Callithrix jacchus: one gene and its partner. The protein of the gene in region 2 binds, or shares a complex with, the protein of the main gene of each other region. Links are inferred from orthologs where the notes say so. Each region holds a gene or a part of one and is shown on either strand. Other genes may lie near its edges.

Region 1 (12,170 bases), on a different chromosome or scaffold from region 2:
TTCACCATGTTGACCAGGCTGGTCTTGAACTCCTGACCTCAGGTGATCCACCCACCTCAGCCCCCTAAAGTGCTTGCTAGGGTTACAAGCATGAGCCACTGCGCCTGGCCTGGAAAAATTTTTATATAGAAATACCAACTGAGTTGAATGAAAACTCACAATGAATTTAAATTATTTGGAAAATCCTTCCTTGCAAATAGCTATGTATCAGCACCCTAATGATTCTCAGTCTTCACAGTCACCTCCAACTCTGATGATTCCCAGAAGTCCCACCTTTCTTATTCTTGTTCTCCTTGGCCTTATTCTTCTTAATGAAGTTAGCCATGGGGTCCCCCTCTCTTTCTTGTTCTCTTAGCATCCTATCCAGGTCTTCATCATCAATATAGCGGGCCAGAGGCTTTTGCATCTCTTTCATTGCATCCTCCACATTCTGTTGCTGTTGCCGGCTCTGGGCAAGCCTGGGCAAAAACGAACCAAGAGTGTTTGCTACCCTTTATGACATTTCCATTTCTACATGACATGGACCACACTGCTAAATTTGGAGAATTTCCTCTTTCTAGTAGCCTAGGCAAAATATTGAACAGGGTAAAATTCCCAGAATACCCACTGGAAGTGTGGAATATATCAACATCCTACAAAGAAGATTCAGCACACCAAATTTCCCATTACTGATAATAGCTCTGAAGGTATAATAAGAAAGTGAGTGGTCAGAGAGCAGAGAAATGACTTGTTCCAGTCACTGCCATTTTGTTTACCCTTTCAGTGGTTCCCTTACCCTTTTCCCCACTGGGCATACAGCTCATCTCTCTCTGAGTCCTTTTCTGCTTTCCTCCTTTGCTCTAAACGTTCGAGTTTCAAATTCCTCTTACGACCAGACTTATCTCGAAATACAGTTTCAGCATATTGAAATTCAGCTGCAAAGGAAAATTATACTCAAATATCAGAATCAAAATCAAAAACAACATTCTAAGAGATCAAATCAACCGCTTGGGATTCTAATGCTAGATAAGAACTTTTGCGGCCAGATCAAAGTAGTCCCTACTAACGTTTAGGTACACATTGGTGCTGGGCCCAAGAAATGGCATTTTTCTTTTCTTTCTTTTTTTTTTTGAGACGAAGTCTTGCTCTGTTGCCCAGGTTGGAGTGCAGTGGTGCAATCTCAGCTCACTGCAACCTCCGCCTTCCAGGTTCAAGCGATTTTCCTGTATCAGCCTCCTGATAGGTGGGATTACAGCTACACACCACCACGTACAGCTAGTTTTTTTGTATTTTTAGTAGAGACAGGGTTTTACCATGTTAGCCAGGCTGGTCTTGAACTGCTGGCCTCAACTGATCCACCCGCCATGGCCTCCCAAAGTGCTGGGATTACAGGCATGGGCCACTGCGCCCAGCCAAAATGGCATTTTTCAAGAAGGAAAGAAACACTGGGACTTAGTAAGAAGTTATAATGATGCATAAAACCAGAGCTGAAATTTGATAGCAATTAGAAGTTTACAATATCAGGTACAATAAGCTATGTTTTGTAAAAAAGCAACATGAGACTAGATTGGTCTCTGTGCTTTCATATTTTTACCTTCAAATGCCATGGTTTCTTGGTCCTGTTTCTTGAGCTCCTGCTGCTCTCGCTGTATGTCAGTTAACACCAACCCAGTTTTAGCCCCAGAATACATGTATGCAGCCTATGCAATGGAAAAGGGAGCATCCAACATTAATGGGATGATGTGGCAGTAGGCTCCACGGGTACACAGTTAGATGCATTTGTCTCTGATGAGCAGCAATAATTAAACCTAAAACTCTAGCTTTATATTCTCATTAATTATCACGATTCAAAAACCATAAAAGAAAGAAAATCTAATTTCATAAAAAAATCAATACCATCAAGTTTAAGAGTAAACAGAAACACAAACAAACAATATATTAAAGGGAGGGCTATGCATTTGCATTTTTGACTTTTCAGTATAGAAACTGTACACATGAAGATTCTCTCAGGTCATCTGATCAGAAGCCAGTATAAAGCACTAAGTCTTCCATTAGAGACCCACACTGACAAAATACTCCATTTAAAATACAAACTCAAGCAAACCTAAGATCCTCAAATCGTGGATATATTTCAGGGTAATAACAGAAGATCTAACCAAATGAAAACTTTTTGCTAATTTCCACTTAGTATCAAGACAGCAAACCAGCCCACAAATGAAGCACACAGTATATCCTGATATCCTTAAGCAACTATAATATTAAGTTGTCCATTAACTAAATGGATACATAAAATGTCAAGGGGTCCAGCTGAAACAGAGACCTCTTTTTTCCAGAAAAGAGAAGACTCTCACTCCCTGGGTAAAGAAAAGGCTGATCTACCCTACCAGGACCAGTCTTCTCAGACCCTTCTTCAACAGACAAGATTTACCTGGTAAGTCTGCATTGGGGAGAAAAATGCACACCACAGCCTCCATCATTCTGTTTCTTAACCACTCACAAATCAGATTCCTTTACTACTATTAATGTTCTCTACAATAGAATTACTCAAGGTTCATATGGAGTTTTGGGTTTTTTGGCTAATTCATCAAGCTTTATCATGAACTCAGAACAAAACATTAACTTCCCAGACAACATGATTTCTAAAAGTAGTTCCGTATTTTAAGTGTCTCTTCTTAAGCTCTGGATACAGAGACCTATAGGTCAATTTATACTAGTAAATCACCAATACCAGATGCTTACACTAGATGCAGACACTATGCTAAGAGATTTATTTACACTGGCTTAATTATCACAACCTTACACAGTAGGTACTGCTATTAACAACAATTTACAGATAAAGAAACTGAGGTTTAGCGATAATAAGCAACTTGCCCAAATCTCACAGACAGTAAGTGGCAGAAGGAGAATTTCAATATGTGATTTGTTTGACACAATGCTTGTGCCCCAAACTCCACTCTGCAAATTACAGTCCTCAGTTTATTCCTAAGAATATAGGAAGCTTTTCTGGACCTGCTAAAATGAGATTTGTAGAATTAAGAGGCTATAAAAGCAGAAGCGACTTGGGAAATGTGGTATCTATAAATCCACCTGGGCTGGGTTATAGCCAGTTTGCCTTCAGAAAGAAAGAGATCCAAAGGTCCTTTTAACTAAGATTTACTACACTTCTAAAAGCTACATCCTTCTCCTTTGGCTTGATTCTCTGGGACACATATAAAGCTCAGAGAGAAGAGTCATGCGAAAATAAGGACATAGCTTCTGAAAATCCTAACCTTCTTTCCAGGAGGCTGACTCCTTCGAGGTGGGGACAGGTCAGAATCAGAAGATTTGGTCCTCTGTCTCCTCCTTGGTGGAGAGAGGTCAGAATCAGAGCTCCGGTGCCTAGGTCTATTCCGTGGAGGTGACAGATCTGAATCAGAATCCTGGTGCCCTGTACTTTGTTTACGCCATGGAGAAGAACAGTCTGAATCAGTTGCTTTCTGGCAGTCACCTGGATAGAAGGAAAGAATCTGTGTGACTCTGATGTCCTCTAGGTGAAGAACTTACATAAAATCTCCTATGACTGTGAGAAGAACCTCCAAATGAAAGAATTCTTTTTTTTTTTTTTTTTTTTTTTTTGTGAGACAGTCTCAGGCTGGAGTGCAGCAGCACGATCTCAGCTCATTGCAACCTCTGCCTCCTGGGTTCAAGTGATTCTTGTGTCTCAGCCTCCCAAGTAGCTGGAACTACAGGTGTGCGCCACCACAAACGGCTAATTTTTGTGTTTTTAGTAGAGAAAGGGTTTTGCCATGTTGGCCAGGCTGGTCTTGAACACCTGACCTCAGGTAATCTGCCCGTCTTGGCCTCCCGAAGTGCTGGGATCACAGGCTTGAGCCACCATGCCTGGCCAAACAATTCTTTAATCCCCTTGGAAGAATCTAAAAAAAATAACTTACCAAGCTAATATACAATATTTATTTAGTTTTCCTATGAAGAATTCTCATTAACCTAAACATAAGTATGAATGACACAGGAGAAAAGCAAAGTCAGAAACAACTTTTAAGACCAACAGGTAGAAGATGGCATTCTATTACCAAGTGACCAGTGGCTGTAACCGTGTGTGAGATCTCCACACACTCCTCCATGTCAGTTACCCCACCCATGGACAGACAAAACATTTGTATAGTCAGTGCTCCATAGCGTGACAAAAGTCAGAAATACCTAGAATACATTCTGATATCCTCAGACTAAATGATAACAAAGTAGTTTAATTTTAAAATTAAAATAGTTCCTAGAAAGAAAAGAGGGAGTAAAAAATTTCACTGCACAGGCCTAAGTTCTAGTGACTGTATAAGCATCACAAATCACCTCCCAAAGAGCAATCTGCAATATGTATGGACAGTCTTTAAAATGCCCACATCTTCTGACCCAGTAAATCAACTTCTCAGCTTTCTAGGAAACCTATACAGAAGTGGTTGAATTTCCAGGAAATCTATCTAGAAATAGATAAGGAAATAATCAAAAATGGGGACAACACTTTATGTACAAGATGTCTGTTACAGAATTGCAGAAGCAAAAACTTAGAAATAACCAAAAACACTCATTATTAGAAAAATGGTTAAGTAATTTTATGTAATGGAACACTATTAACATCATATTAACATAAAGATGTTTTTATGGCCTGAGGAAGACTATATTAAGAAAAGACAGCAGACAAGATTACAAACGCAATACAATATTCTGCATAGCCAGAGCACAACTATATCAAAAATGCAAATCAAAAACCAGAAAAGATTAAGATGACCCTGGCTGCAACACTAACAATTGCCTCTGAATGACAGAATTTTGTGTCACTTTTCTCTTTATACACTTCTGTACATTCTAAAGCTTCTGCAACAAAAAAAATTGTACTTTTATATGGGGTGGGGCAAGTAAATAAAAAGATATATGAAAACCTTCCTCCCTACCACCGTAATTTTTTAACTCTCCCAACCCCAGCCTCTCACTTTTCAAAACTTTCCCAAAGAAACTCCATTCTTAGACCTTATAAAGCAAGTAAAGGGCCAAAAGAAAGCTCCCAGGGGATACACACATCCCTCTCATGGACAGTCATATGCTCACCTTTGTAATCAAGCTGCTGCTTATCTCCAAAATGAGATTTTGCTTGCTTTTTTCGTGGAGGAGAGAGGTCAGAGTCATACTCATATTTGCTGTTCTTTGGGAGTGTCGAATGAGAGGCTCCTGACTCCTTCCAATGTGAAGAAGTCTTGCTAGAGGCTCTTTCTGGGGCTTTACTACTTTTGGTTCTGGGCAGGGAATGAGTGACATTAGGAGCCAAATCAGGGGAGTCATGACGAGCCCTTCTGAGTTGCTGCATGTTTGAAGAGGCAAGAGTCCTCCTAGGTTGAGATGTGTTAGGGGAGTTGTTATGGGCCCTTCTGAGGGGAGAGGTATCTGAGAAATCATGATGGGCTCGCCTAGGAGAGGGATCTGGTGAATCATGACGGGCTCGCCTAGGAGGAGAGGGATCTGGTGAATCATGACGGGCTCGCCTAGGAGGAGAGGGATCTGGTGAATCATGACGGGCTCGCCTAGGAGGAGAGGGATCTGGTGAATCATGACGGGCTCGCCTAGGAGGAGAGGGATCTGGTGAATCATGACGGACTCTCCTAGGAGATGCACCTGAAGAATTATGCTGGGGCTTCCTGGGGGGAGAAGGATCGGGAGAATCATGACGGGCCCTCCTTGGGGGTGAAGTGTCTGAGGTGTCATGACGGATCCTCCTGGGAGATGTGTCTGAGTCATGACAAGCTCCTCTGAGGAGAGAAGAATCTGGGGAGTCATGACGGGCCCTCCTAGGAGACGAATTCGGGGTATCATGATGGACTCTCCTAGGAGATGAATCTGGGGTATCATGACGAAAATGCCCATGTGAGGGTAGGTCTTCATTGTGGCCTAAACACAAATAACAAATAGTCAGATTCCCACAAATGCTCTGTCCCTCTGTCCCCGCTTCACACCCAGTTTCAAAAGATGCTCCAGCAGCACATAACCTCAGAACTGCTCAGAAAGCCCAAAAGTCCTGTAGTTTCCTTGCTTAGGAGCAGCAAACCAGCACTCATGAATATCTTAAGAATAACCTGTCTTATTTGCCTACTAAGTCATAAATGTGCAAAGTATTTCCAGTACATTTTTTATATTATACCCTATAAGACAAGCAGGGCAGGTACCCTTGTATTACAGCATGATGTTTTCAGCTGAGGAGCTGAGTGATTTCTGACCTAAGGTCACAGCTACTAAGATGAAGATACAGGCTAGAATCCAAGTCTCCTAACTCCCAGTCCAGTGCTCTTTCTAAAACCTCATTTGTGCAGTTACCAGACAGTGGCTCCTACTGATATTTAGCCCAGATACTTTATAGTTCATACTCACCCTTCTTTCAAAAGGTAAATTGACTAAACCAACGAACATCAAAATAAAATGCTGTTAACTATTTAATCCATTTCACTGTGTTCTTTGTTAGAGAGGGGAAAAATCACCACCGGGAAAAAAGAAAAAGGAACAAGCATTTACCAATCACCTACTGTGTGCCAATGTAGAGATTACCTGATTCAATTCTCTTAACAAGCCTGGGACGTAAATATTGTTATTTCCATTTTACACATGAGGAAGCTGATACTCAGAAAGATTAACTTGCCCAAGTCATACTGCTAATAAGTGGTGGAGATATATTTAAATCCAACTCTATTTGACTCCAGAGTCCATAGACTCTGTGCAATCTTTAAAATATGTAAATCTTTAAAGTGAAAATACATAGTTTGAGACTTTCCATTTTCAGAGGCACCGCAGAATGAAATATCTACAGCAACTGGAACAGTTTCAAATTCCAGTTCTTCCTCTACCTCTATTTCTTGTCATTCAGCTCCATAGCCCAAATACAAATAACAGCTAGGTAGGACCTGATGAATACTTGTTAAATAGATTAATTAAACCAAGTCAACCCCTTTAGCTTGGGTAACAGGCCTATCTGATTCTAATCCACTCCACAGAGAGAAGTATGATGTCTGTGGGGGCCTAACAGCAAATCTAAAGGAAGTAAGGGTCGGAGACTGGTGAGCATATTTCCAGTAACAAATTGGGATAGGGAAGTGAGAGTAAGGCAGAAGAAAAGGAAGGGGGAGGGAGGGTTGGAGAGGGAGAGGGAAAGGGAGGGGGGGGATGGAGGGAGAGAGAGAGAGAGAGAGAGAGAGAGAGTATGTATGTGTGACTTTCCACACATTCAGTTACAGAAGAAAAAGCACTGTGTGTGTGCAAGTTTGTATGTCTTTCTAAACATTCAGATACAGAAGAAGAAGCACTGTGTGTGTCTGTGTGTCTTCCTAGACAAACAGATATAGAAACCAAAAGATTTTCTTTGGAAAAGAATTCCGATTAGGCTACAAAAATCAAATCCCTACTAGCAATTCAACAATTCTACAACTATTTACTAGGTAGCTCCTTGTGCTAGACAGAGGAACATCACGGCAAATAAGACTAGACTATGCTCAAACAGATGTGATAAACAAATGCTTTTTATCCAATTCTCAAGGACTCACATTTTTTTTTAAGACGGTTAAATTATAAATATTAGCTTAAGAAGAGTCTAGAATGGGCAAGTGGAGGGTAATGCACTGTAAAATGCCAATATTTAAGGAAAGAAGAGAGAAATTTACTAACACAAATAAACAGAACAAAAAACATTGGTCCTTGACCCTCCCAGAAATGAGCTGCTTCATTGTGGAAGAGGATAGAGGTGGCTAATGTCTCCAAATTCTGTTCCTGTTTCTTGTAAACTCCCCCCAAGTCTTGCCTATATCAAGTGCTCTCCTATTCTGGGTCAAAGAGGAATGGGTACTCAAAGGCCTCCAAATTAGTCACTGACCTCAGTAACCCTGATGCCAAAATATAAGAGAAAGGAATATTTGGTCTCTAAGTTCCCATGTCTTACTACCTCTGAAGAAGTCCAAATTCCTTTTTCCTGCTATATTTTTCAGCATCAATGACAAGCTAAAACAAATTATGCATTCTTCTAAAAGAAAAGTATAGGAAAAGAAAAAAGACCTCCCCTACTAATGGAAATTTAGATGTGCCTTTTGTTGGAACTCACCTCCCAGAAGCTTCCATTTGGCACTGGAACGAAAGGCCTCCATCTGCTTCACCTCTTCTGGTCGCTCATCCACAAACTCTGCCACCTGCAGGAGTAAAGATTTACTATACTGAGGAAATTCACAGGATCCAACCAAGAAGCATTGTCTCAAGAATCTGAAGTTACAACTATTCCGATTCCTAACATAAGGGCACACACATATCCAAAACGGTCATGAAGAAATAAGTAGGAGTCTTCAGTTACGTTTGCTCCATAAACATCTGATTGTCACTGTCTTGGTTGAATTGTAGATCCTTCTCTAACTAATCAATTTCCCTGCAAAGGTTAATTTCTTTCATTACAAACCTTTTTATTAACCTGCTAGGTACACAACAGCCACTTGTAAGCTAACAACAAAATTCCTTTTACATTTTTACTTTTACATTAAGAGTGAAAACATAGGTGGCCCTCCTCATCATGCCTAGAACTAATCAAGGACTTTGGGTTTCTATAAAACCTTTCTTGTTGTAGGTAGTCACAATCGTAGGTTTTCTTGAATACAACCAAAAAGAGCCACTGAGATGTACACAGAATCATTAATCTTTAAGAGCTAAAACTACATGTCATATCTTCCAAACTTCTGAACAAATCAGAATCTTCCCTAGAGTATTCCTAATAAATGATCACTCACCCAATCCCTTCCTGACAAGGAACTGATTATCTTACAACGTAGTCCACTGCACTTTTAAAAAATGTTAGAAAGTTCTTAGTTTTATTGGGCCCACATCTACCTTCCTTTTTTTTTTTGAGACAGTCTTACTCTATCACCAGGCTGGAGTGCAGTGGTGCAATCTGGGCTCACTGCAGCCTCCACCACCCGGGTTCAAGCGATTCCCCTGCCTCAGCCTCCTGAGTAGCTGGGACCACCACGCCTGGCTAATTTTTTGCATTTTAGTAGAGAAGGGGTTTCAACATGTTGGTCAGGATGAGCTCTATCTCCTGACTTTGTGATCCACCCACCTCAGCCTCCCAAAGTTCTGGGATTACAGGCGCCCAGCCCCATATCTACCTTCTTATAACTTCCTTGAATTGATTCTAGTTCTGACCTCTGATGCAACTGATCCCCTTTCCACATGACAAACGTTCAGTGTTTGCTGGCACAATAAATCCTAGTTACAGAGTAGCAACTATGCGCAAGGCACTGTGGTTTGTGTTTTACTCATATAATCTCATATATTTCTCACAATAGCCCTGCAAAGAAAGGTTCTACACTACTGAATAGCAAACTGACTCAGAGAAGTAACTTTCTCAATGTCACAAGCTAGCAAGTGGTGGAATTGAAATTTAAATCCAGATCATAGCCGGGCATGGTGACTCAAACCTGTAATCCCAGCACTTTGGGAGGCCAAGGCGGGTAGATCACCTGAGGTCAGGAGTTCAAGACCAGCCTGACCAACACGGATAAACCCTGTCTCTACTAAAAAAAATGCAAAAACTTAGCTGGGCGTGGTGGCACATGTCTGTAATCCCAGCTACTCAGGAGGATGAGGCAGGAGAATCACCTGAACCTGGGAGGCGGAGGTTACAGTGAGCCAAGATTGCACCATTGCACTCCAGCCTGGGCAACGAAAGCAAAACCCCGTCTCAAAAAAAAAAAAAAAAAATCCAGATTATAATTGCCCTCTACTTCTCCCAAAATCCTACAGTCATTCTTCATATAACCCAGTTTTGAGATCGCTCACTGAGCATTAAAAGCACAGGTTTCAGGCAAGATGAATTGAGATCTAAACCCCAGCTCTGCCACTTAGCATTTGTGTAACTTTTGGTAAACTATTCTAAGCCTCAATTTTCTCATCTGTAAAAGTGGGATTCAAAGGATTACTGTAAGGATTGAATGATATAGTTCATGTACACTTAGCCATGCTTGGTATATGATAAATGCTCAATAAATTATACCTATTAGTTATTCCTGTGCTGCCACTGCTATTACAAATAATCAAAATCATTGTGCCATTATTAATGGTGGTGGTGGTAATCTTGCAGTAACAAAAATGAATTCAATAATCAAGATTTGTTTTAACCAATGCAGAGAGGACTGGCACTAAAGCCTCCTTTGTTTAGGTTTTTGGGCCATCATAAAAGCAAGACAATATTATTAAAGAAAATGGCCAGGTGTGGTGGCTCATGCCTGTAATCCTAGCACATTAGGAGGCCTAGGTGGGAGGATCACTTGAGCCAAGGTGTTCAAGACCAGCCTGGGCAACACAAAGAGACCTCATCTCTAAAAAACTAAATAAATAAACAAAATTAGCCAGGTATGGAGGTACACACCTGTGGTGCCAGCTACTTGTGGGGCTAAGGTAGGAGGATTGCTTGAACCTGGGAAACAGAGGCTACAATGAGCCATGATCACACCACTGTACCTCAGCCTGGGCACCAGAGCAAGACCGTGTCTCAAAAATGATAATAATAATCATTTGACAAAGTAGGCAACCTGGCATTCTCATTACCTCTAGTGGGAGTGTAAACTGGTAGCACCTTTTGGAAAGCAATACGGGACTATAACGAAAAAGAACCGTATCCTTTGATCCATTCATTTCATTTTATGGAATAAAGAAATAAACTGATTCTTACAATGATTTATGATATTTTAAAAGTTGAAACAATCCATGTATCCAGTAATAGGGCAGATTAAATAAATATATATATTGACCTACTATGTAACCATTAAAAATCATACACTCAAAGAATATTTTAAGGTCTTACGAAAATATCCACAACCTATTATTTAGCAGAAGAGCAGATTCCAAAACCATATGTACAGTATGATCCCAATTATGTTAAAAAAAATAAGATACAAGCATGTATAATCACTAAAGAGAAAAACCTGAAGAGATACGCATCCAAATGTTAGCAGTTATCTTTGGATGGTCATAATATAAATGGTTATTCTTTTAAAAACTTTAAACTTTAATTCCCAAATATTCTGTAATAAATATGCATTGTTTTTACAAAATTAAAAACAACAACAAACATTGTTAATATTAATTTGTTCTGACCAAAACTAAATTGACTCCCTGAGATCACTATTTCCCTTCTAATCACTAGCAAGCCCTCTTTTAAACAATCTGTTTTAGAATTTTGCTGGGAATTAATGTTAAATATGCATCTGGAATCCATCTTTACTATCTTTAGTGCAATTCAGCCTATCAACAGCTCTCCTTTCCACTTTGTTATTAAGAAATTCTCAGCAATGGTTTCAGGAACCACTGGGAGGTCAATTGCCTATGATTTTGTCCACATGGCTCTTACTTATCCTTCAAAACTCAGTTAAGATATTTACATCTTTCAGGATAGCTCAACAGAACACTAAGTGTGCTATCTCCCCTGGGCTCTAATGGTACTTGGTATATATGTGAAATATATCCCCAACACTTACCATACTGTTAAAATGTATTTGAAATTCAGTTTTTCATTCTAGGGTATAAACTCTAAAGCACATTCATCTACGAATCTCCAGTTCCTATGCAAGAATACACAACTTGAAAGCTTAGTTAAATCAATGAAAAAAAGGAGCAAATAAGAAGTTCCCTATAATTGAACCTCAACACTGTTTTTAAGGAAGATTCCAACAACAGCTAATTCTCATCATTAGAACCACAGCTACTTCTCATCATGACTCTATCACTGATGTTGAGGAGTTCTCACTCTCTGTTAACCATCTCATTTCTAGGCTGATGGGCCCTCCATAAAGAGAGAAGTTGGTGTACAGGCATTATCAAAGATAATTATTTAAAACAGCTCTTTGGAAACTGTCACCTATTTTCTGTTCTCAACTATCCCCCCTACAAATTTACCCTGAGCTGGGAAAAGAAATTGAGAAGCTTGGCCAGGCGCAGTGACTCACGACTGTAATCCCAGCACTTTGGGAGGCCAAGGCAGGTGGATCATTTGAGGTCAGGAGTTCAAGACCAGCCTGGACAACATGGTGAAACTCCGTCCCTACAAATATACAAAAAAAAATAATTAGGCACGATGGCGGGTGCCTGTAATCCCAGCTAATGGGGAAGCTGAGGCAGGAAAATTGCTT
Region 2 (12,170 bases):
AGTTTCTTCCTATACAGTACTTAGCACATGGTAGGTACTCAAATACTTACTGAACAGGCCAGGTGTGGTGGCTCACGCCTGTAATGCCAGCACTTTGGGAGGCCAAGGAGGGCAGATCACCTCAGGTAAGGAGTTCAAGACCTTCTGGCCAACATGGTGAAACCCTATCTCTACCAAAAAATACAAAAATTAGCCAGGCATGGTGGTGTGCATCTGCAGTTCCAGCTACTTGGGAGGCTGAGATGGGAGAATTCCTTGAACCCAGGAAGTGGAGGTTGCAGTGAGCCATGATCACACTACTGCACTCCAGCCTGGGTGACACAATGAAACCCTGTCTTAAAAAAAAAAGAAAATGTACTGAACAAATGAAAAGTGCTGTTTCATTTGTTGAGCCTTACAACCTGCTAAATTTCTGCCCGGGAGTAGAATCCCAAGAAATTGTTAGGCTCAGCCACAAACATTGGATGTAAGTATTTAAACCAGCAATTCTCAAATTGCTGCACAGTAGAAATACTCAAGGATTGTTAAAAAAAAATATTGACACCAAACACTCTGATTTAATTGGGACAGACACAACCTAAGCAGAGATGTTTGTAAATTTCCCGGGTGATAATATGTAGCAGAATTTAGGAGCTACTCGTTTAAACAAATGCTTGGATTAAGCTTTGGAACCAGTCACCTTCTCCCTCAGTAAGCTTCTCTCTCTGTTCCCCAGGACCTATGATGCCTACTCCACTTTCTACCTGAATTCCAGTGGCCTCATTTGTCGCCATCGCCTAGATAAAGTGAGTTCTAGGTAGGGCTGGGTGAAGGGTAGAACATCTCTGTGCTTCCCCCAACTGGCATTAACCTTTCTCCCTGCAGCTGATGCCTTCACACTCACCTCCAACGCCGGTGAAGAAGCTGCTAGTGGGAGCCCTGGTGGCTCTGGGGCTGTCAGAGCCAGAACCTGACTTAAACCTGTGTTCTGAGTCAGGTTCTTTGGCTTTGGAGTGGGAGCAGCACTGAAGACTGCTATGCCTAAGAGAAGGACATAGAGGCAGCCAAGAATCTCAGGAGCCAGCTTCCTCTCCTCTCTCTCCTTCCTTCCTTTCCATCTCATGCTGTGTAAAGCTGCTGTGTAATTTAACTTGTAAATAATAAAGTTTAACTGACTATATGAGATAGAATTTCTCTGAATCCCAAATGTTCCCACAAGCTTTATTCTAAAAATAATTTTATTTAATAGATATTAAATAATGTATAGAAAGAAAAGGAGCTGGTGTCAGGTTCCGTTCATGTCCTCCTTTCACCCTAGCTCTTCTCGTGTCTTGCCTATTTTTTTGGGCATTTTCTTAGCATGGGGATCTTCTAGCTCCTTGGCCTTATAATAATGGGGAGCCACCTCCAGAAGCCAACTGCTCTCAATCTCCAGTACCTAGGAGAGAGAAAAGAGCAATAGAGTTCTCATCTTTCCAACCTAGATCCTTTTTTATTGTTAAATTTTTTTTTTTTTTTTCTAAATTGAAACGGTTGGCCAGGCGCATTGGCTCATGCCTGTAATCCCAACACTTTTGGAGGCCAAGGCAGGCGGATCACAAGGTCAAGAGTTTGAGACCAGCCTGGCCAACATAGTGAAACCCTGTCTTTAAAAAAATACGAAAAATTAGCTGGGTATGGTGGTAGGCTCCTGTAATCCCAGCTACTCGGGAGGCTGAGGTGGGAGAATCACTTGGATCTGGGAGGTGGAAGCTGCAGTGAGCCTAGATCACATCATTGCACTCCAACCTGGGCAACAGTGTTGCTCTATTGCCCAGGCTGGACTGCAGTGGCTCACTGCAGCTTCCACCTCCCTGGCTCAAAGCAATCCTGCCTCAGCCTCTCAAGTGGCTGAGACTACAGGCACAAATCACAGTGCCCCGTTAATTTTTTGTATGTTGCCTGGGCTGATCTTGGCCTCCCAAAGTGCTGGGATGGCTTACAAGAATGAGCCACCATGCCCAGCCCCAGCCTAGATCCTTCTGTGTGTGGTGGAAAGTTATCTTTCCCCTTTGACTACATGGCAAGAGGTAAAGGTGCCTGGCTCTATTATTATATATCCAAAGGGCAGATACACCTTTATATGTTATTCAAGATACCAAATAAGCTATTCCTAAGAAAAGTCTGGAACATAAAGACTATAAGTACACTTGTGAAACCAGAGACTCTGCTTTGCTCATTATAGCCCAGCACCTATACAGTAGCCATTCAAATATTTATTGAATGAATGTATAGTTCTCAGATCTTGGAAGGTGCTGACACCTGTAAGGAAGGATGTCAGCCAGGCACCGCGGCTCATCCTTGTAATCCCAGCACTTTGGGAGGCCAAGGCGGGCGTTTGAGACCAGCCTAGCCAACATGGTGAAACCCCATGTCTACTAAAAATACAAAAATTTAGCTGGGCATGATGGCTTGTGCCTGTAATCCCAGCTACTGGGAGGCTGAGGCACGAGAATCACTTGAACCCGGGAGGAAGAGGTTGCAGTGAGCCAAGATTACACCACTGCACTCCAGCCTGGGCGACATAGTGAGACTCTGTCTCAAACAAAACAAAAAACAAAAGGATGTCTTTCATTTCACCCTACCTCCCTATTTTTGTATCAGGCTGAGCAACCTGAACCTGGGTTCTTAGCTTGCCAGGACACCTCTCTACAGACTCCACCTGTATGGGCACAGGATGTTCTCACCTGTCTCATGAACTCTTTGGTGGTCAAGACAAGTTCATGGTAGAGCAGCCAGCGTGGCTGTTGCTCAAATAGGGAGGAGTTGGGATGAATGAAGACCGTCTGCTGCTGTTTCACTGTGCGGTAGCCACTCCGAGTCAACCGTGCCGTGTGGTAAAAGTAACCAGCAGTGATGGCCTAAGGGGAAGGCAGGAAAGAAAATCAATGGAAAAGGCAGATATCTGGGGACCCTAAGTGCTCACTACCTTTTTAGTTCAAGCTTTGGGAAAACTAGCGAGGTAGGGAAGGCATGAAGAATCCCCCAGGAATGAACCTTCAGTGGTCTGGGGAAGAAAGCCCTGGGAGGAAATGTGGTACATAAGGGGAAGAGGGCATGTCCTCAGGCTGGAGGAGCTGCTGCATGCCACCAGGAAGCTACTGCGGGTAGAAGGCAGTAGGCAAAAGAAATGCTGACCTTGCGTACACGGATATAGTCCCCCTGGCAGGAACTGAGACCAACTTCTACACGTTCCAAGAGCCCTTCTAGCTGTTCCCGCACATCTCGGGCTCGGCGCATTGATCTGAACTGTACAAAGTTCTCATAGCACCACTGGGAAGAGTAACCACTCTCAGCCCACTGGGAAGAGAGTTAAAAAGAAAGGAGAGGTAGTTAAGTGTACAGCGAGACTGAAGTCCCCCCATGTCTCTTTCCCACTCACCCAAGCCCAGTGACCTGTGTGTAAACGTTTAGCAGAACCAGGTGGTCACCACCAGGAAGGAAGAAGTTGACACGGGCATTGTCAGCATGGACAACCTTGTCCTTTGGCCGGTAGAAGATGGAATTGTTGACAGACAGCATGGCAGCCACTGTCAGGATCTCCTCTGAACAGCTATACCTGGGACAGGAAGGGGAAAGCACGAGTTCAAAGCAAGACACATAAGCACAGATATGGTAGAGGGGGAAGTGACCGCTGTGTGATGGATGTTTCCTCATGTGGGGAAGGCTGGTTGGCATAATGGTTACAAAGCAGCCAGCAGATAGATTCTGGCAGCAGCTTGAGGGTCAAGGAGGTAGGAGCATAGATGAAACACAGTCACAAGGGAGGGATATCCATGGAGGCAGGAGCAGAAAACACTGGGGACTTCTGAGGTTTCTACAGAAAGTGTGCATTCACTATGTGCATTCGGAAAAGATCTCGACAGCAGAGGAATGGCATTTAAAGGTGGTCCCTCCACAGCTACATCTAAATGTTCTAGTTTGAAACCTTGGGAATGAGTAAGTTCCAAAACCAGCCCTCATTCAATAACCCTCCCAGATGGAAAATCTACTTTCGTTCATGACCCAGAATTTTCTGTCAGTCAGTCTTGCCCATTTAGTATAATCAAGGACAGGATCAAGGATCAAGTGTCTTACCCTTGTGGGCCTCAAAAGGGGGCATTCAGAGTTATCTAATAATTTATTATTTATTAAATAATAATATGAAGAGAAAAAGACAAAGAGACAAAGAAGACCCCAGAGACAGAGGAGGCCTGGGGGCCTGGGTGGAGAGGAGGGCTTACTTCTCAGAGGCTAGGATCATTTTGGACAGCATGGGATCCACCGGCAGCTCTGCCATCTTTCGACCAGACTAAGGAGAGAAGACAGAGAGTTGAGCCCGGTCCTCCCTCAGGATTCTCTCCATTGCTATAGGGGTCCCTGGAGCCATCCTGACCCGTATCATCCTGCCCCCACCCATGCTGCCCACCAACTCACCGTGGTGAGCTCCCCAAGGTGGTTGAGGGCTCCCAGGGCATACAGCTGCTCCAAAGCCAGCAGCAGTGTCTCATATGGTGGAGCGTCCAGGAAATCAAAGTGCATTAGGTCATGGATCCCTAGAGAGAGGTGGGAAGGATGGAACAGAATCCCTTCAAAGGACCATGACTCCAGCCCACCTCCCCCTTCTCTCAGGTAGCCCAGTCACCTAAGCTCTTGAGTAGCAACACGACATTGCCCAAGCTAGTCCTCTGGATCTCAGGCACTGTGGTTTCCTCAAGCTCGTGCTGATAGGCCCAGGCAGTATACAGGCGGAAGCACTTCCCTGCAGCCACCCGACCTGCCCTGCCAGCTCGCTGATTGGCTGAGGCCTGGAAAGAAAGGCGAGCAGGCTAGCTGACAATTTGGTTGGGGAAAAGAAAAAGGGCAGTATTTATGCAAGAAATTAAGATGGATGTAAACTGCTCATCCCCGTTTGCTAAGAAGCCCCCACCCTGCTTCTGGAGTTGGACCTTCCCTGTGGACCAATTCTACCTCCCTGACCCCCATGCATCCCCAAGCTGACCTTACTGCAGGGTATGACAGTGAGTGATTCCATTCCTGTGCGGGGGTTATAGCTCTTCTGCTTACAGAACCCTGGATCCAGCACATAAATGATGCCCTCAATGGTAAGTGATGTCTCAGCAATGTTTGTTGCCACAACCACCTGAGTGAGAGGATATGGGGTCACCCAGTGACCCTGCCAACCTCGTTACCCAGAAAAAGTCATCTTGGAAAGTTAGAAGTAGTAAAGCAGTTGCGGTAAGGGGCAGGAGCTGAGGGAATTAGTATCCAAGGTCAAGAGCAAGGGACAAGGACAGAAGACAGGGCAGAGGGAAATGGGGGCTGGGAGTCAGCAGGGGCACAAGGAGGAAAGAAAATGGAGAAGAGGACTTAGGGTGTTAATTTTTTCAGAAGGGGAATGGGAGTGTTCAAGTTCCTGTCCCGTCTTCCTCACCACCACTTCCATCTTCACACAACACTTCCTGTAAGAGCCTTCTAACACATCTCCCTGTTTCTACTCCCAACCTGTCAATGGCATCCAGGATGGTCCTTTTAATATATAAACATGTCATATCACTCCCCATCCTTCAGTGGTTTCCTATCCTACTCTAGAATGCAATCCAATCCCCTTAAAAGCCTGGATCACCTACCCTAGCTGCCTTTCTGACCTCATCTGCTAGCACTCCAACCCCTCCCTCACTCCTCCTGCACACTGCTTTGCTCTGCCCACGTACATGCACTCCTCACTGGATCATTTCATTTGCATCAGCTGTTCCCTCTGTCTGTGGCACTTTTCTCCCAAATATCAGCCTGGCTCCTCCCTCACCTGGTTTGGTCTCTATTCCACTTTCCCTTTACTGAAGGGCCTTCCCTATACCCCAAAACAAATATCTTCATGCCAGTCCTCACCCCCACCTCTCAGGAGTCAAGTTCCATCCTGCTATGCTGCCTTGTATCTCTTCACAGCACTGGCCATAAATTGACATTATGTATTTACGCATCTACTGTTTCCCCAACAGACCGCAAGTACAAGTAGGCTAGGGACTTTGTTTTGTGCATCACTGTATCAACTCATGTGTATCTGGCACCACACAGAAAGAACTCATGAAATATTTGTTGAATGAAAGTTACATCTCTGCTCAAAATCCTTTGATTGCTACTAAGCTGTCTAAAGTCCAAACTTCTCTGGACGTGGTGGCTCATGCCTGTAATCTCAGCACTCTGGGAGGCCAAGGCAGGCAGATGACTTGAGGCCAATAGTTCAAGACCAGCCTGGCCAACATGGCAAAACCCCATCTCTACTAAAAATTAGCTGGTTGTTGGCCGGGCATGGTGGCTCACACCTGTAATCCCAGCACTTTGGGAGGCCAAGGTGAATGGATCACCTGAGGTCAGGAGTTTAAGACCAGCCAGGCCAACCTGGCAAAACCCCATCTCTCCAAAAAATACAAAAAATGAGCAGGGCATGGTGGCATGTACCTGTAATCCCAGCTACTTGGGATACTGAGGCAGGAGAATTGCTTGAACCTGGGAGACAGAGGTTGCAGTGAGCAGAGGTCATGTCATTGCACTCCAGCCTGGGCGATAGAGCCAGACTCCATCTCAAAAAAAAAAAAAAAAGTATTAGCTGGATGTGGTGGTACGCACCTGTAATCCCAGCTACTTGGGAGGCTGAGGCACAAGAATCACTTGAGCCTGGGAGGCAGAGGCTGCAGTGAGCCAAGATCTTGCCACTGCACTCCAGACTGGGTGACAGAGCAAGACTCTGTCTATAAACAATAAATAAATAAGTCCAAGCTCTCCTGTCATCAAAGGCCCTCCCTAATCTTAGCCCCAAATTGTTTTTAGCCTTATCTCCTACTCCTGTACCGCATGAACCTCCCACTAAGCCTACTAGCTGACGTTCTCACCTCAGACGCACCTTGGGCCTTCCACTGATAACTTCTCAGCCATTTTTCTTTTTTGAGACAGAGTCTCACTCTATCGCCCAGGCTGGAACGCAGAGGCACAATCTCAGCTCACTGCAACCTCCGCCTCCCAGGCTCAAGCGATTCTCCTGCCTCAGCCTCCCAAGTAGCTGGGATTACAGGCACCCTCTACCATGCCTGGCTAATTTTTGTATTTTTAGTTGAGACAGGGTTTCACCATGTTGGCAAGGCTGGTTTAGAACTACTGACCTCAAGTGATCCACCTGCCTTGGCCTCCCAAAGTGCTGGGATTACAGACGTGAGCTACTGCACCCAACCTCAGCCATTTCTCTTAAAGGTCCATATCAAATCCCACCTCCTGGCCCATCAAGGACTTCCTATCTCCACTGAATCTACTGTGCTTACTTTGCAGATCACGTATTTGGCTCTCTCTTGGTTCATACGGTATTTCTCCTCTCTCTTCAGCCCCAGGGGTGAGAGAATGGCTCCTCAGCTATGTCTGCAGCAGTGCCCAGGACTCCCCTTGCATGGGGCAGGCACACACCTTTTTCACTACTGTTGTGTGAAGCATAGGTGTGAAGAGTGTGGGTTTCTCCAACTGACCTTTCGTGCCCCAGGTGGTGTGGGCTGGAAGATACGGGCCTGCATGTCGGAGGGCAGGTTGGCATAAATGGGCAGCACCAGGAGCTCCCGGATTTTGGAGCCCAGGCGGCGGCAGCGATCCTGGAGCATCTCACAGGCAGCCTCAATCTCTTCCTGGATAGAGAGTGGGGAGAGCAGCAAGGGTCCCAGGGTCACAGAAGACCAACATGCCAGCCTAGTCCTCCCCTGGGATACATTACCCCCTCTCCCAACCATATCAGGCACCTGTCCTGTCAGGAACACCAGGATATCCCCAGGGGGCTGGGTCACATGGATCTGCAACACAGATACGACACAAGCTTCCAAGTAGTCAGCCTCTGGAGCCTGGAGAGCAGAAAGAGATGGGGTCACAGGAGGGCCACCTGCTTAGGCAAATCGTTCCTCTCCTCCCAACTCAACATACACTTCATCCTAGTTCCCCTTTGGACTTTCCATTCCATCTTTCCCTCCTTGGGATAACCTCCTCCAAAGTCCCCAGCTTTTCCGCTACACACTTAAGCCCATCCTTCCTGAGGGGGCACCTTGGTATAGAAGATGTCCACAGGAAACCTGCGTCCAGGGATTCGAAACACAGGGGCGTCATCAAAGAAGGTGGAGAAACGGGCAGTGTCCAACGTGGCTGAAGCCACCAGGACCTTGAGCTCAGGTCGGAAGCGAGCAACATCCTTGATCAATCCAAAGAGAATGTCTGTGTGTAGGGTCCGTTCGTGTGCCTCATCCACCATCACCACGCTGAAGAGGTAATAGGGGAGCAATGAGGGAGGAGCGCTGGGTTATGCGTTATCAGACACCAGGGTTCCCTGGATGAGAGGGGAGTAATGGACACAAAGAGCTCAAGAATGACTGTTGAGGGAGGGGGCTCTAAGGAGACGCCACCATCCCAGTTACGTAAGACCAACAGAAAGTCAGAGAAGGCACAGCCCCGTGATCTGCAATCTATTCCAGCCTCAGCAGACAATAGGAGCCAAGATGTAGAGGCTGCACACTGACCCAGGACAAGTCAGACATGCCCTCTAGTTCAGTCAAGGGTCTGCTTAGACTCAGCAGCTCTTACTAGAAAAAGTGGAAGGATATGTTTTAAAGGAAAAAAAAAAAAAAAGTGGAGGGCAGGGTCCCCTTCAGTAAGAGGAGGCCACCAAGGCTGGCTGGGGATAATAGACCAGAGCTGCTGTGATTCAGACAGCCCAGAAGCTCCTGGTTTCCTGTGGAACAACTGCCTCTGGCATCCTTCCTGGCTCTGTTTCTTCTTTAGGAAAGAGGAACAAGTTAAGCCTTTCAACCCCAACTCTCAGAGGACTCTGCACATCCCTTGGTTTCCCCCAACTCAGTTAGGTACATGACACCTTCTTTCTCTTTGCTTTATTCTTTGGCTTTTCTGGGTGGCAGCCAAATCCCAGGGACTCATTCCCATCTTCCCCTACCCACCTTCCCAACCTCAACTCTGTGCCTAACCCTAACTGTGATGGTAAAGTCCCCAGCCATTCCACAAAGCACACTGGCTCGATGGGCAAAAACATCTGCATCAGACACTCTTGCACTGGCTGGCTCTCCATGGGTTCTCAGAGATTTTTTGCAAGGGATATGAAGTATCAAGTTCTATCTGTCCAATTGCTCCACTGTGATCTTCCAGGGCCAGAAATTCACAGCCTCTGAAGAGTTGAAAAGGCACATATTGTTCAGCTGGCCTGATCCCACCCCCAATCTCATTCATGAATCCCTTTTCCCCCTCAACACATGCTAAACCAACCCCTGGTTGGCCATTTCCAGCACTAAGAGCTCATTATTCACAGACCAAGCTACCCAAGACTTGTGTGGAGGACCAAGCCCCAGGGTCCAACCACTCTGACAAGCCCTGCAATCTGAGGGTGACTCAGCCATTTTGGTATGGAGCTGGAATCTGTCTCCCTGTAACCTCCCCATGGTTCCTAGCTATGTCCTGTAGGGTCACATAAAACAAGTCTGATCCTTTCTTCCATGTAACAGCTTTCACATATTTAGAAGAACCAGGATGCTTCCCCTGTTTCTCCCTCTGAGTTGAGCAACCCAAGTGTTTTCAAATGTTCTTCGCACAGCATTTTAGTCTCTGCAGCAATGCTCCTCTATTCTGATTGTTTTCTAAACCTTGGAGATGAGTAGGGACGGAAAAAGAGGTTTCTCTACAATCTCTTCTATCCTACAGCCCCATCTCCATGGTATCTGGAGGTCAGTTCAAGGACCATTTGAACCATAAAGGTTCAAGAACTGGTGGATTAATCAGAAGACAATGGCTGATTGGCTAGGTGGGAAAGGAGAGAAAGGCCAGAGATTAGAGATCCGGGAAAGCACTGAGCGGGAGGGAAGCGGCAGAATGTCAGGAAGAGAGTGTGGGCTCTCTCAAGGGAGAGGAGGGCCCTGTACGCACCTGTAACTTGCAAGGTCAGGCTCAGAGAGGAACTCCCGGAGAAGCATCCCATCTGTCATGTAGCGGAGGACAGTTCGCTCTGATGTGCAGTCCTCAAAGCGGATGCTGTAGCCAACCTGGTCAAGGGAATCATTAGCAACCAAATATGGGCTGGTGCACCCTGAAAGGAACTTCGGCAAAGGTGAAGTAGGACAGCACCAAGACTTCTGTGGGGACCTGAGGGCAGTGTAGACTGAGTCACAGATCCCAGTTCCCTAGAAATCTCACCTCATTCCCAAGCTTCACGCCCATCTCCCGGGCCACTCGGGCAGCCACACTCATGGCGGCCACTCTCCGGGGTTGGGTGCAGGCAATCTTCATACCCTTCTTTGTATAACCCTGAATGACAAGGAAGAAAGAATAGGTTTGCCCTTTGCTAAATATGCCCCCTGGGACCATGTACAATTCAGAGAAAGTTGTAAAAAGCCAGGCAGGAGGGGTCCAAAGTGGCTCCCGCCGGAGGTCATGGCGCTTGCGAAGGCGAGGTCATCAGTTCAAGGCTAACCTGAGCAACCTCATAAGCTCAAACTGATTGGCAAAAAAAAAAAAAAAAAAAAAAAAAGCCAGGCAGGAGACAAAGAGAAAAAGATAGATGCTGAAAACCAGAAAAGGGCAAACAGATAGGATGACAGACCCAGGGCCCTCAAAGAGCGTCCTCACTCAGCTCTGGATAATTAAGCTCATGGCTCTGCTGGACTTCAGCGGGAAAAGAACAGAATAGCTGAGGCAGACCCAGCTAACGTAAAAAAACAGGAAGGTAGCTGGGTGTGGTGGCTCATGCTTGTGATCCCAGCACTTTGGGAGGCCAAGGAGGGGGGAATCACGAGGTCAGGAGTTCAAGACCAGCCTGGCCAAAATGGTGAAACCCTTTCTCTACAAAAAAATACAAAAAATTAGCTGGGCATGGTGGCGCATCCCTGTAATTCCAGCTACTTGGGAGGCTGAGGCAGAAGAATCACTTGAACCCAGGAGTTAGAGGTTGCAGTGAGCCAAGATCATGACAACACACTCTAGTCTGGGCAACAGAGCAAGATTCTGTCTCAAAAAAAAATTTTTTTTAATATGGGCATAGTGGTATGCACTTCCCAGATACTCAGGAGGCTGAGGTGGGAGGATCTATCGAGCCCAGGAGTTCCAGGCTGCAGTCAGCCATGATGGTGCCACATCACTCCAGCTTGGCCATCAGAGCAAGAGCTTATCTCCAAAATAGGGCAGGGGGCGGGCACGGTGGCTCACTCCTGTAATCCCAGCACTTTGTGAGGCCGAGGTGACCAGATCACTTGAGGTCAAGTTTGAGACCAGCCTGGCCAACAAGGCAAAACCGTCTCTACTAAAAAATTAGCCAGGTGTGGTGGTACAAGCCTGTATCCCAGCTATTGGAAGGCTGAGGCAGAATGGCTTGAATCTAGGAGTCAGAGGTTGCAATAAGCTGAGATTGCGCCACTGCACTCCAGCCTGGGCGACAGAGCAAGACTCCATCTCCAAAAAAACCAAACAAACAAAAAGGCCAGAAAATAGTCCATTAAATCCTTGTCTTTTGGCAAGGCTGGAGTACAGGGAGGTCAACATTTACACACACATCCCACTCCACTTATCCACCTACTTGTCCGTCCAACGTGAATGAACGGAATGCAGGAAGCAAGAACAGAAATGTGAAAAGGGTATAGTCTTTATTCTCAAGAATTTCACAATTGAGTGGAAAAGATGGGTTAAATGTCTACTAAAAATATAACGTAAAAGGAGCTCTGACAAGGAATGAGGACGTCAATGCCTGGTACCCTGGCAAGCTGAAGGGTGAGATGACTATACCTCCTCAAAGAGATACTGTGGGATCTGGGTGGTCTTCCCTGAGCCTGTCTCGCCTTCAATGATGAGGACTTGGTGATTAGCAATAGCAGCCAGGAGCTCCTCTCGAAACGGGAACACCGGGAGGCTGCGGCGGACAGCCTGGATGGACTCTTTCTGCTGGGCCTGAGTTGAAGCAGGTGGGGGTGATGGATCCTAAGGAAAGAGAAGGAGGCATGAGCTAAATAGCTTGCTTCAGGTCCTCCTCAGAATGTCTCCCAGCTCCCCTCTTACCTCATCACCCTGGAGCTGAGTGGCCCGCACAAACTCAATGGTCTCCTCCTCCTCCAGCACTAGTTGATACTTGGGCTCCTGAGAGGCAGCATCTCGGGCCCCAA

What was found.
Region 1: DHX16 (region 2) and BUD13 share a complex: the UniProt entries of both Homo sapiens proteins name them as parts of the minor spliceosome. The link is inferred for Callithrix jacchus from reciprocal best matches to the Homo sapiens genes DHX16 and BUD13.

Annotation. Positions count from the first base shown.
Region 1 is NC_133511.1:16,400,400-16,412,569, forward strand, and holds part of BUD13 (BUD13 homolog), read right to left. Parts: intron 12,083-12,170; exon of another isoform or gene 11,988-12,082; intron 8,187-11,987; coding exon 8,102-8,186; intron 5,911-8,101; coding exon 5,077-5,910; intron 3,467-5,076; coding exon 3,249-3,466; intron 1,680-3,248; coding exon 1,574-1,679; intron 915-1,573; coding exon 776-914; intron 459-775; coding exon 274-458; intron 1-273. UniProt on the Homo sapiens protein: Involved in pre-mRNA splicing as component of the activated spliceosome. As a component of the minor spliceosome, involved in the splicing of U12-type introns in pre-mRNAs.
Region 2 is NC_133505.1:35,448,358-35,460,527, forward strand, and holds the end of DHX16 (pre-mRNA-splicing factor ATP-dependent RNA helicase DHX16), read right to left. Parts: coding exon 12,067-12,170; intron 11,989-12,066; coding exon 11,797-11,988; intron 10,327-11,796; coding exon 10,216-10,326; intron 10,065-10,215; coding exon 9,949-10,064; intron 8,280-9,948; coding exon 8,069-8,279; intron 7,872-8,068; coding exon 7,773-7,871; intron 7,662-7,772; coding exon 7,509-7,661; intron 5,141-7,508; coding exon 5,000-5,140; intron 4,806-4,999; coding exon 4,643-4,805; intron 4,554-4,642; coding exon 4,435-4,553; intron 4,310-4,434; coding exon 4,242-4,309; intron 3,578-4,241; coding exon 3,415-3,577; intron 3,319-3,414; coding exon 3,157-3,318; intron 2,880-3,156; coding exon 2,706-2,879; intron 1,418-2,705; coding exon 1,289-1,417; 3' UTR 1,187-1,288; downstream 1-1,186. Other genes in the region: C4H6orf136 (uncharacterized protein C6orf136 homolog), read left to right, coding at 716-785, 865-1,008. UniProt on the Homo sapiens protein: Required for pre-mRNA splicing as a component of the spliceosome. Contributes to pre-mRNA splicing after spliceosome formation and prior to the first transesterification reaction.